Saccharomyces cerevisiae S288C: one gene and its partner. The protein of the gene in region 1 purifies or fractionates together with the protein of each later gene. This does not show direct contact. Each region holds a gene or a part of one and is shown on either strand. Other genes may lie near its edges.

Region 1 (4,563 bases):
ACACACCAAAATAGTCGCAGTTTCTTATTTGCAAATGGATCATTAGGATACCATTGATTTAGATGAAGTTTCTTCTTGGATATGCCCATGACATCCTTGATTATGTCATATAGTATCAGAGAATCTCTATCAGTCCTAATAATGTAAAGGACAAGCAATGTCAACAGTTCTATTTGCTGAACATAATTCAAATGTAGACCACACTTAGTGATGTGACGGATAGCGGTGGAGAAATATCGGTGAGGTGGAAACCCCTTGTACTTACCTGTGGTCATCAGTAAGTAGGCGCTGATGCTGAAGACAAGCCACATTCTGCCGGATAGAAAATGAAATTCTATTTCAGAATACGAATGTGAATTCGACGGTGGTGCTGCGGAAGACGTGGCGGGAGAAGATGGTGGGATAAGAATCTTGTTGTGGAGGTAGTGGTCATAAAAAGTATAGATTTCTTGTTCGTCTAAGATAGGGTACTTGAATTGTAATCTTGTGAAAAAAGTGTCCAAGAAGGAACGTGACAGCTTCTCATTCAGTTCAAAAATAGGGTCATACATCAAAAACTCTTTTTTCAAATTGTATTTGGCAAAAATACACTTAGTGAAGTCCAGCGTCTCTAAAGGGTCATTCAAAAGGCTCGCGGATTGGCAGATAGCATTATTGTTGTTTATGTTGTTCGTACTGGCCGATGTATCGTTAGTGGCCGCATTAACGTTGCTGCCGTTATTGTTTGTGTTCTCCAGGGGTTTGTTGGAAGGAGATGGCAGCGGCAGTATGACCATATTGCTGCTGTTCGGTCTAGAGTAATCAGAAGTGTTGTTACTGAACAAATGAGAAACCTTCTTGTACTGGGATAATTCGTAGTTGTACTGGTTGCATCCCGGCGATAAATCGAGCAAAGTCTCCAAACTTTTTAGTTTTTTCTCCAAGAAAATCGTATACTGATCTTTGTCTTGCCTCATCAGGTTTGGATTGGAATTTGTCGTGACGGACTTTATCGTTTTCCTGAATTCATTCGCGTCGCCAGCATCAACATTACTATTGCTAGTGGAAATGGGTTTTATTATCGTCATGTCATTCAGAGAAGTGGCAGCGCCAGCGCCAGCGCCAATACTGCTATCTTGCAGCTCACGTTTTATTACAGGATGAGGTGTAGGAGGTACAGTGCCAGCTGTAGGGGTGTTGTTGTTGGTGTTACTGTTCGAAGTGGAAGAAGAGTACTTGGAGGGCTGCACGCACTTTATTCCTGCTTTCAAACAGGCGGTACAACTGGGTAATTTATGGTCGCATCGTTGCTTTCTTCTTCTACAAAGAAGACAAGACCTGGAACGGCCCTTTTTGTCTTGCAACAAGACGTCTGTCCTGTTACCGGCCAGCTCCAGTTCTCTCTTCAACTGTTGTATTTTCTCCTGGCTAACATTCTTCCTTGGACGGCCCATTATTATTTACGTGTATTGTTGGTAGTTAGCCCGAAGATTATGAGTACGTGAAATACACTTGTCTTTATGAAAGAGTGGAAAAATGGTGGGGAGTAAGTTATACTATTGACGTGTAAAAAAAAAAAAAAAAAAATGTTAATGGAACGACCGATCTAAAGAACCATATATAATGAATGACTAAAAAAAGCAAAATAGTTAAGAATCCAAGAAAGATACTAAGAAAAGGCGAAAAGAAAAAGAAAAAGTATGTCCGCTAACAAAGATTAGCGTATAAGCACCACACGATGCGATTCAGGTCTCAACGTGCAGTGTGCAGGAGCAGGAACTATTCAATGTATTGTTGTTCCAGGGTTTTTGTTCGCAACCCACGTCTTGACCGACGGTACCCGCAGGTGAAAATTTTAGCAAAGTTACACTTTTTTTTTCATTTTTTTTTTTCTTTTCTCCTCCATCTAATTTCACCTGCGGTTACCGGCGGAATAACTCGCGCACCATTTCTCTGTCTCGGGCCTCGCGTTCCTCTTTTTCGACTCGAGCGGCCTCTTCACGCTGCTCGTACTTCGCGACGCTGCGCCGGCGCTGCGAGCGTTTCTGTTGACGGTGCCACTGTAGAAGCGCCTCCTCTCTGGACGGCATCGTGTCGTACGACGCCGCAAGTTCGCGCGCGAGCTTAAGCCGGGCAAGCTTTCGATTTTGCTCACGTGACCGCGTTTCTTGGCACTCGACAACGATCCCAGTGGGTTCATGCCGTAGTTGTACCTTAGAATTACACTTATTAATCTTTTGGCCACCGGGCCCTCTGCCGCCATGAAGGAATTTCTCAGTGCATTGTGCTTCCATCTCTGGCGTGAACTTTGGTCGCGGTGGTAGCTTGTTCTTTTTAATCAGCAGCACTGCGGCACTGCTGATTGACCTCTTACTCGCTCCCCTCATCATAGTTTACTAGTCTCGGATTCTTCTGCGCTTTTTCCAGGGTCGCATAGCTTGTAGGTTGGTAGCATAGACTTATATATAAACTCATATCCGTTCTAGGAACGTATAGCGCGCTATGGTAGTCCGGGGAAAATGCACAGTTTAGTTAAGTGTATAGTAATTTTATCGATAAAGGAAGAATGGAAGAGGTTTATGTATACATGTAAACTCTGAACATCTAATAGACTAATGATGCGGTTAATACGTACATTGCCGCTTCGATGCTTCAAAACTAGAATACGGCGGCAAGGCTCGTTGTTGTGTTTGCGGTGCTTTAGTTCGTATTCAAAACCACTTTTGCAGAAATCAATGTCATTGAAAAATATCCAGTTATCAGACCTATCCTCATCGCCATTATCCAAGAACAAGGAGAAGCAGGAGAAGCCAGAGAAGGAAAACGAAGGAAAGCACTCCATTGGCCTGTTAGACAGATTTTCAGAGGACTTTATTACTCAGGGCAATGGATTGAAACCTACTACTTCACAAAATCAATTGGATACTATAAAGTTTTATCAAATGCTTCGTGAAAGAGGCAATTTTTCCGATGAACAATGTAAAATTATCATAGCTCTATTGTTGCAACTACTAAATGATCAGTTTTATTCCTGTTACAATGATTTGTTCTTAAGGGATATGGAGCTGAATAAACAATCACATTTGTTCAGCTCGCTAGAAACAGAATTGAAATTCGCAATTCAAAACTCTAGAGACACGCAACTAAATGAGCACCACTTGCAATTATTAAAACTCAAGAGAGAACTTAACTCAATCCATGATGAACTGAATGAAATCATAATAGATCTTTTGCAAAAGGACGCTAAATTAGAATTTAACAATCAAAAATTAGAAAACACCCTTTTGTATCGACAATTAAACCTGAAATTGAACGACTGTTCTAACAAGATTCAAACCAAGATACTGGGGGATATCAGGTCACATATCGAAAATTTAAGATGGCAGACAACCAGAAGCGGTCTTTTGGTAATATTAGTCCTTGTTTGTTCGATTATGATCGGTGTAAGCGCATCTAAGAAGGAACGCCCAGGTTTACAGGAACCTGAGGAACCTGAAATTTTAGCACCAAAGGAAGACATTGATACTACCTTCCCTCAAGATCAACATGATATAGATTAATTAGCATACATATTGTCTGTACATAAGTATATTGTGTGTGCGTTTTGTTTCACTGAGAAAGCGGACGTCATAAACGATGCTTCCTTTGTTTCGAGCCCAGCTGCCTAAATCTTTTTAAGGGCTCTCCATCTACCCAATACTTGAGAGATTCATTTACTTCCACTGAGTTAGCCTTATTGAATGCATCGATGTGGTTCGATTTCAGCAATTTTTTCATCCCTAAGCAACTGGGCAGGTATAGCCCTTTCACTTTCTCCCTCAATTCTTCTAAGACCTTTGCATTGAACGCTTCAGCGTTTGAAGATGGCATGTTAAAATTCTTGCTTATAAATCCGTTCTCGCACATTATATCGTACTTGAATGGTTTGTTGAACATGAGGCATTCATACGTCGTATTTGTGCCAAACTTCAATGGCAAAGAGACCGTTGTACCACCTTCGGTAATTAGTCCTAAGTTAGCAAAGGGGTATAGCAAATAAACCTTGTCATTTATACTGTACACAATGTCACATAACGCTACCAGTGCCGCGCTCAACCCTATTGCTGGTCCATTCAAACAGCAAATTAAAACTTTGGAATGCTTGATGAAGGCATCAGTGACATAAACATTTCTAGCGACAAAATTTGACACCCACTTGCTTGTTTCCGAAGGATATTTATTGGTATCATCCCCTTGGGCTTTTGCAATACCCTTGAAATCAGCACCACTGGAAAAAAATCTACCACTGCTTTGTATAATTGTAAAATATACATCACGATTTCTGTCCGCTAGTTCTAGTAACTCTCCTAAATAAATATAGTCTTCACCTTCTAGTGCATTCAAATTGTCAGGGTTCATTAAGTGAATAATGAAGAATGGTCCTTCAATACGATAACTGATTTTCTCATTTTGCCTAATTTCTTGCGACATATTGTTCTTCCTTCCTTTACTGTGCGAGCAATTTGTGCCATACACTCCAATTATCTATCCATATGTTCATCTTTCAGTTCTTATATATAGTGCTTCACTTTTATTAACCGCTCT
Region 2 (4,371 bases), on another chromosome or scaffold:
GTCTCAGGTCTAGATGTGCTTTTTGATAGATTATACCATGGTTGTGAGCAATGCGACTTGTTCATTCAATTATTTGCGTCAAGAATGCAATTTGAAGTCAGTCACGGGAGGCAGTTGTTTGGTATAGAAGCCGGTATGGACAATCTGAAGGCAGTGCAGGAAGATGAAGATGAAGGGGTGACAGTTTCGAGGGCCCTGAGGGGAATTCTACAGGAAATGTCTCAGGAAGGGACGCATCACTTGACAATAGCGTCGAACATAGAAAGTTTGGTGCTGCAGCCATTCAGTAAATGGTGCATAGAACATAGGGAGAGAATTCAATACTCCGAGAAGACTTTGTTGACCAATGTAAATAATTTCAGGAAGTCTAAAAAGTACGTCGGTAAGCTGGAGAAGGAATATTTTAATAAATGTAGGCAGCTAGAAGAATTTAAAAGAACTCATTTCAACGAAGATGAGCTAGCAAATGCAATGAAATCATTGAAAATACAAAATAAATACGAAGAAGATGTGGCCAGGGAAAAGGATCACAGATTTTTCAACAGGATAGCGGGAATAGATTTTGATTATAAGACAATGAAGGAGACGCTTCAGCTGTTACTGACCAAGCTTCCTAAAACGGACTATAAGCTACCTCTCATTAGTTATTCTTTGAGCAACACCAACAATGGTGGAGAAATAACGAAGTTTCTGCTTGACCACATGTCGTTAAAGGATATTGATCAAGCTGAAACGTTTGGCCAAGATTTGTTGAATTTAGGGTTTTTGAAATATTGCAACGGTGTTGGTAATACATTTGTCAACTCTAAAAAATTTCAATACCAATGGAAGAATACCGCGTACATGTTTGCCAATGTGCCAATGCCCGGTTCAGAGGAGCCTACCACTGGTGAATCCTTAATATCCCGGTTCAACAACTGGGATGGTTCATCTGCAAAGGAAATTATTCAATCCAAGATTGGTAACGACCAGGGGGCAGCGAAGATCCAAGCTCCGCATATATCCGATAATGAAAGGACGCTTTTCAGAATGATGGATGCGCTTGCAGCGTCAGATAAGAAGTATTACCAGGAGTGCTTCAAGATGGATGCCTTGAGATGCTCGGTTGAGGAGTTGTTGATTGACCATTTGTCGTTTATGGAAAAATGTGAGTCCGATAGACTGAATGCGATCAAGAAAGCGACACTAGATTTTTGTTCTACCTTGGGTAACAAGATTTCTTCGTTAAGACTGTGCATAGATAAAATGCTCACGCTAGAAAACGATATTGATCCCACTGCAGACCTTTTGCAACTTTTAGTTAAGTACAAGACGGGCAGTTTCAAGCCGCAAGCCATTGTTTATAATAATTACTACAATCCTGGTTCATTTCAAAACTTTGGTGTTGATCTAGAAACTCGTTGTAGACTAGACAAGAAAGTCGTTCCGTTGATAATTTCTTCGATATTCTCATATATGGACAAAATATATCCTGACTTACCTAATGATAAAGTAAGAACTTCAATTTGGACTGATTCGGTGAAATTAAGTTTAACACATCAGCTTCGAAACCTATTGAACAAACAACAGTTCCACAACGAAGGGGAAATATTTGATATACTTTCTACGTCCAAGTTGGAGCCAAGCACCATCGCCAGTGTTGTTAAAATTTATTTATTAGAATTACCAGACCCACTAATTCCCAATGATGTCTCTGATATTCTTCGGGTGCTTTACCTTGACTATCCACCTTTAGTTGAAACTGCGTTGCAAAATTCTACATCATCTCCCGAGAATCAGCAGGACGATGACAACGAAGAAGGCTTTGATACCAAGAGAATAAGAGGCCTTTATACTACTCTGTCCTCTCTAAGCAAACCACACATAGCGACACTAGACGCTATTACAACTCATTTTTACAGATTAATTAAAATTCTGAAAATGGGAGAGAACGGTAATGAAGTAGCAGATGAGTTTACCGTCTCAATTTCACAAGAATTTGCCAATTGTATTATCCAGTCAAAGATCACCGATGATAATGAAATTGGTTTTAAGATTTTCTATGATCTACTGACACATAAGAAACAGATTTTTCACGAATTGAAAAGGCAAAATTCAAAAAATTAGGACTAGGCGATATAGATTTGTATATAATTTTATATAAAAGGAAATATGTACATCATTTTCTTTCACTGTAGGCAGCTGTTTCAAGTTCTTTTTTTATTGGAGATATAATTATTTACATTATTGTTATAGAGGACACACGAAAAAGCAAGAAGGGAACTATAAGAAAAATAAAAAATAATGAAGAATACAGATCTGTAATTAGTCATTTCAAGTGAGCGTAATAAGTAAAGTAAGGTAGAACGGAATAAAATGCTCAAGCGTATTGTTGGATTGCCTGCAAGGCGTTGCTTTCATAGAACGTCCTTTTTGCTGGGCAGTGACTTTGAAACTGTGCATATTCCCAATACGAACCACTTTAAAGATTTACTTATAGAGAACGGTAAATTTCAAGAGGATCAAGCAACTACAATAGTAGAGATAATGACAGATGCAATTAGGGGCGGGGTTAATCATGTTTCACAGGATCTGGCAAAGAGAGAAAAATTGACCCAACTTAGCTATCAACAACGTGTTGATTTTGCAAAGTTAAGAGATCAGCTATTGAGTGCTGATAGAAGTGAATTTCACAATATTCAAAACGAGTACGAAAGTGTGAAAAACGATCTGGAGAAACTAAGAAACAAACTAAGGGAAGAAATTACCAAAACAAACGCCGGTTTCAAACTTGATCTGTCCTTAGAAAAAGGCAGAATTAGGGAAGAAAGTAGTCATCACGATCTGCAAATAAAAGAAATCGACACCAAAATTGAGCAAGAAGTGACCAATATGAAGATGCAGATTGATTCTGTCAAGACTCAAGTCATGCAATGGCTGATAGGTGTCTGTACAGGTACATTTGCACTTGTATTAGCATATATGAGGTTATTAACATAGTGGCGACAAGCGAGGAAAAAGGGCTAGACTTGGTACTTGAAAATTGCATTTACGTTTTGTATAACACAGTTCAGTAAGAGTACACATTCAATAACGTAGTAAGAGTATATTTATTTATATAAGAAGGATAAAAAAGAATCACCAAACGGATCACAAATGGCATAATCACGTAGCAACCTGGAAATAAAGCTATAAGTTGAATAGTTCAGTCAAAATTTTGACGGTGTCATCAGGGGATTGTACTGAATGTCCGATGGTTCTTTCATCGACAAAAATTTCGTAATCGTTACCACCGACCATAGTCTTGTCACCAAAGAAATGAATTTCCTTGAAACCATCTTTTTCAACGTGTTGCAAACAGTAGGTCTTATCCCAACCAGCGGGGAAAACGTCGAAAGAGATTTGGCCACCAATGGAGAAAGTCAAACCGTAGTCTGGGAATTCCTTTTTCAAAGCTTCAACGAACTTGGCTCTGATTTGGTGTTCCTTATCGTATCTTTCGAATTCGTTTCTTTCCTCAGTAGAAGCATTTCTACCAATTGGGGAAACGTTGATCATACCATTTCTAAATTCCAAGAAAGTACCTCTTCTCTTTGGCAAGTCAATTTCAGATAGATATCTCAAAATGAAGACGGCCAATTTATTGTATTTTTCCTCACCGAGCCAGTTGATGAAGGATTGAGAAGCTAATTCCTTACCTAATCTGTAGGCGGTCAAACCATTTTCAGAGAAAGAATAGTCAAATTCATCTAAAACGTTTGGGCCTAACTGTTCTAATTGCTTGCTTAAGTCAGAACCACCGACAAAACCAATGCAGCACTTGTTTCTCAACTTGGCCAAAGTTTTTCTAACTTCTTCAGAAACAGTTAATCTGGCTGGTGTCAAGGTACCATCAACATCGAATAAAACCAAAGTTTCTGGTTTTTCCTTGTAAGCGAATTCAGCGATACTCATTATTGGTGGTTATATTAGCAGATAGGTAAAAAAGGAGAAAGAAGTACTAAGGAAATTGTCGATTTAGTTTTCGTCAAAGATCTTATACTTTGCCAAGAAGAATAGACGATATAAACAGAAAAATAAGTGAAAAGAACACGTAAAAAACGGCACATTTTAATATATTTCAAATTTTTTTTTCATCAACGACAAAAGGAATGCATTTTATCCACTTTTCGTGTCTCATGACGAGTATACCGATAAACGCCAAATGCGTATTTTATTATCTATTTTGGCCAAAATCAACGTGTCCCGTGGATTCAGCGTGCCTAGCAACTTCTCTTTCACCCACAAAGGTCATTTGGCAAGTGTTGCATTTGATCTGGGCCTTATGAGTGTTGAAGGAATAGCCAGTTTGCTTCAAATTTGAGGCCAGTTGCAAAGCTGCTGTTAGAACAT

What was found.
Region 2: the proteins of PUT7 (region 1) and FMP32 purify together in Saccharomyces cerevisiae (affinity purification with mass spectrometry; 2 studies listed by BioGRID). This does not show direct contact.

Annotation. Positions count from the first base shown.
Region 1 is NC_001144.5:702,592-707,154, forward strand, and holds PUT7 (Put7p), read left to right. Parts: upstream 1-2,594; coding exon 2,595-3,539; downstream 3,540-4,563. Other genes in the region: YLR278C (uncharacterized protein), read right to left, coding at 1-1,433; RSO55 (Rso55p), read right to left, coding at 1,902-2,369; ECI1 (dodecenoyl-CoA isomerase), read right to left, coding at 3,607-4,449.
Region 2 is NC_001138.5:40,460-44,830, forward strand, and holds FMP32 (Fmp32p), read left to right. Parts: upstream 1-2,355; coding exon 2,356-2,979; downstream 2,980-4,371. Other genes in the region: GTPase-activating protein RGD2, read left to right, coding at 1-2,106; phosphomannomutase SEC53, read right to left, coding at 3,169-3,933; ubiquitin-specific protease OTU1, read right to left, coding at 4,196-4,371.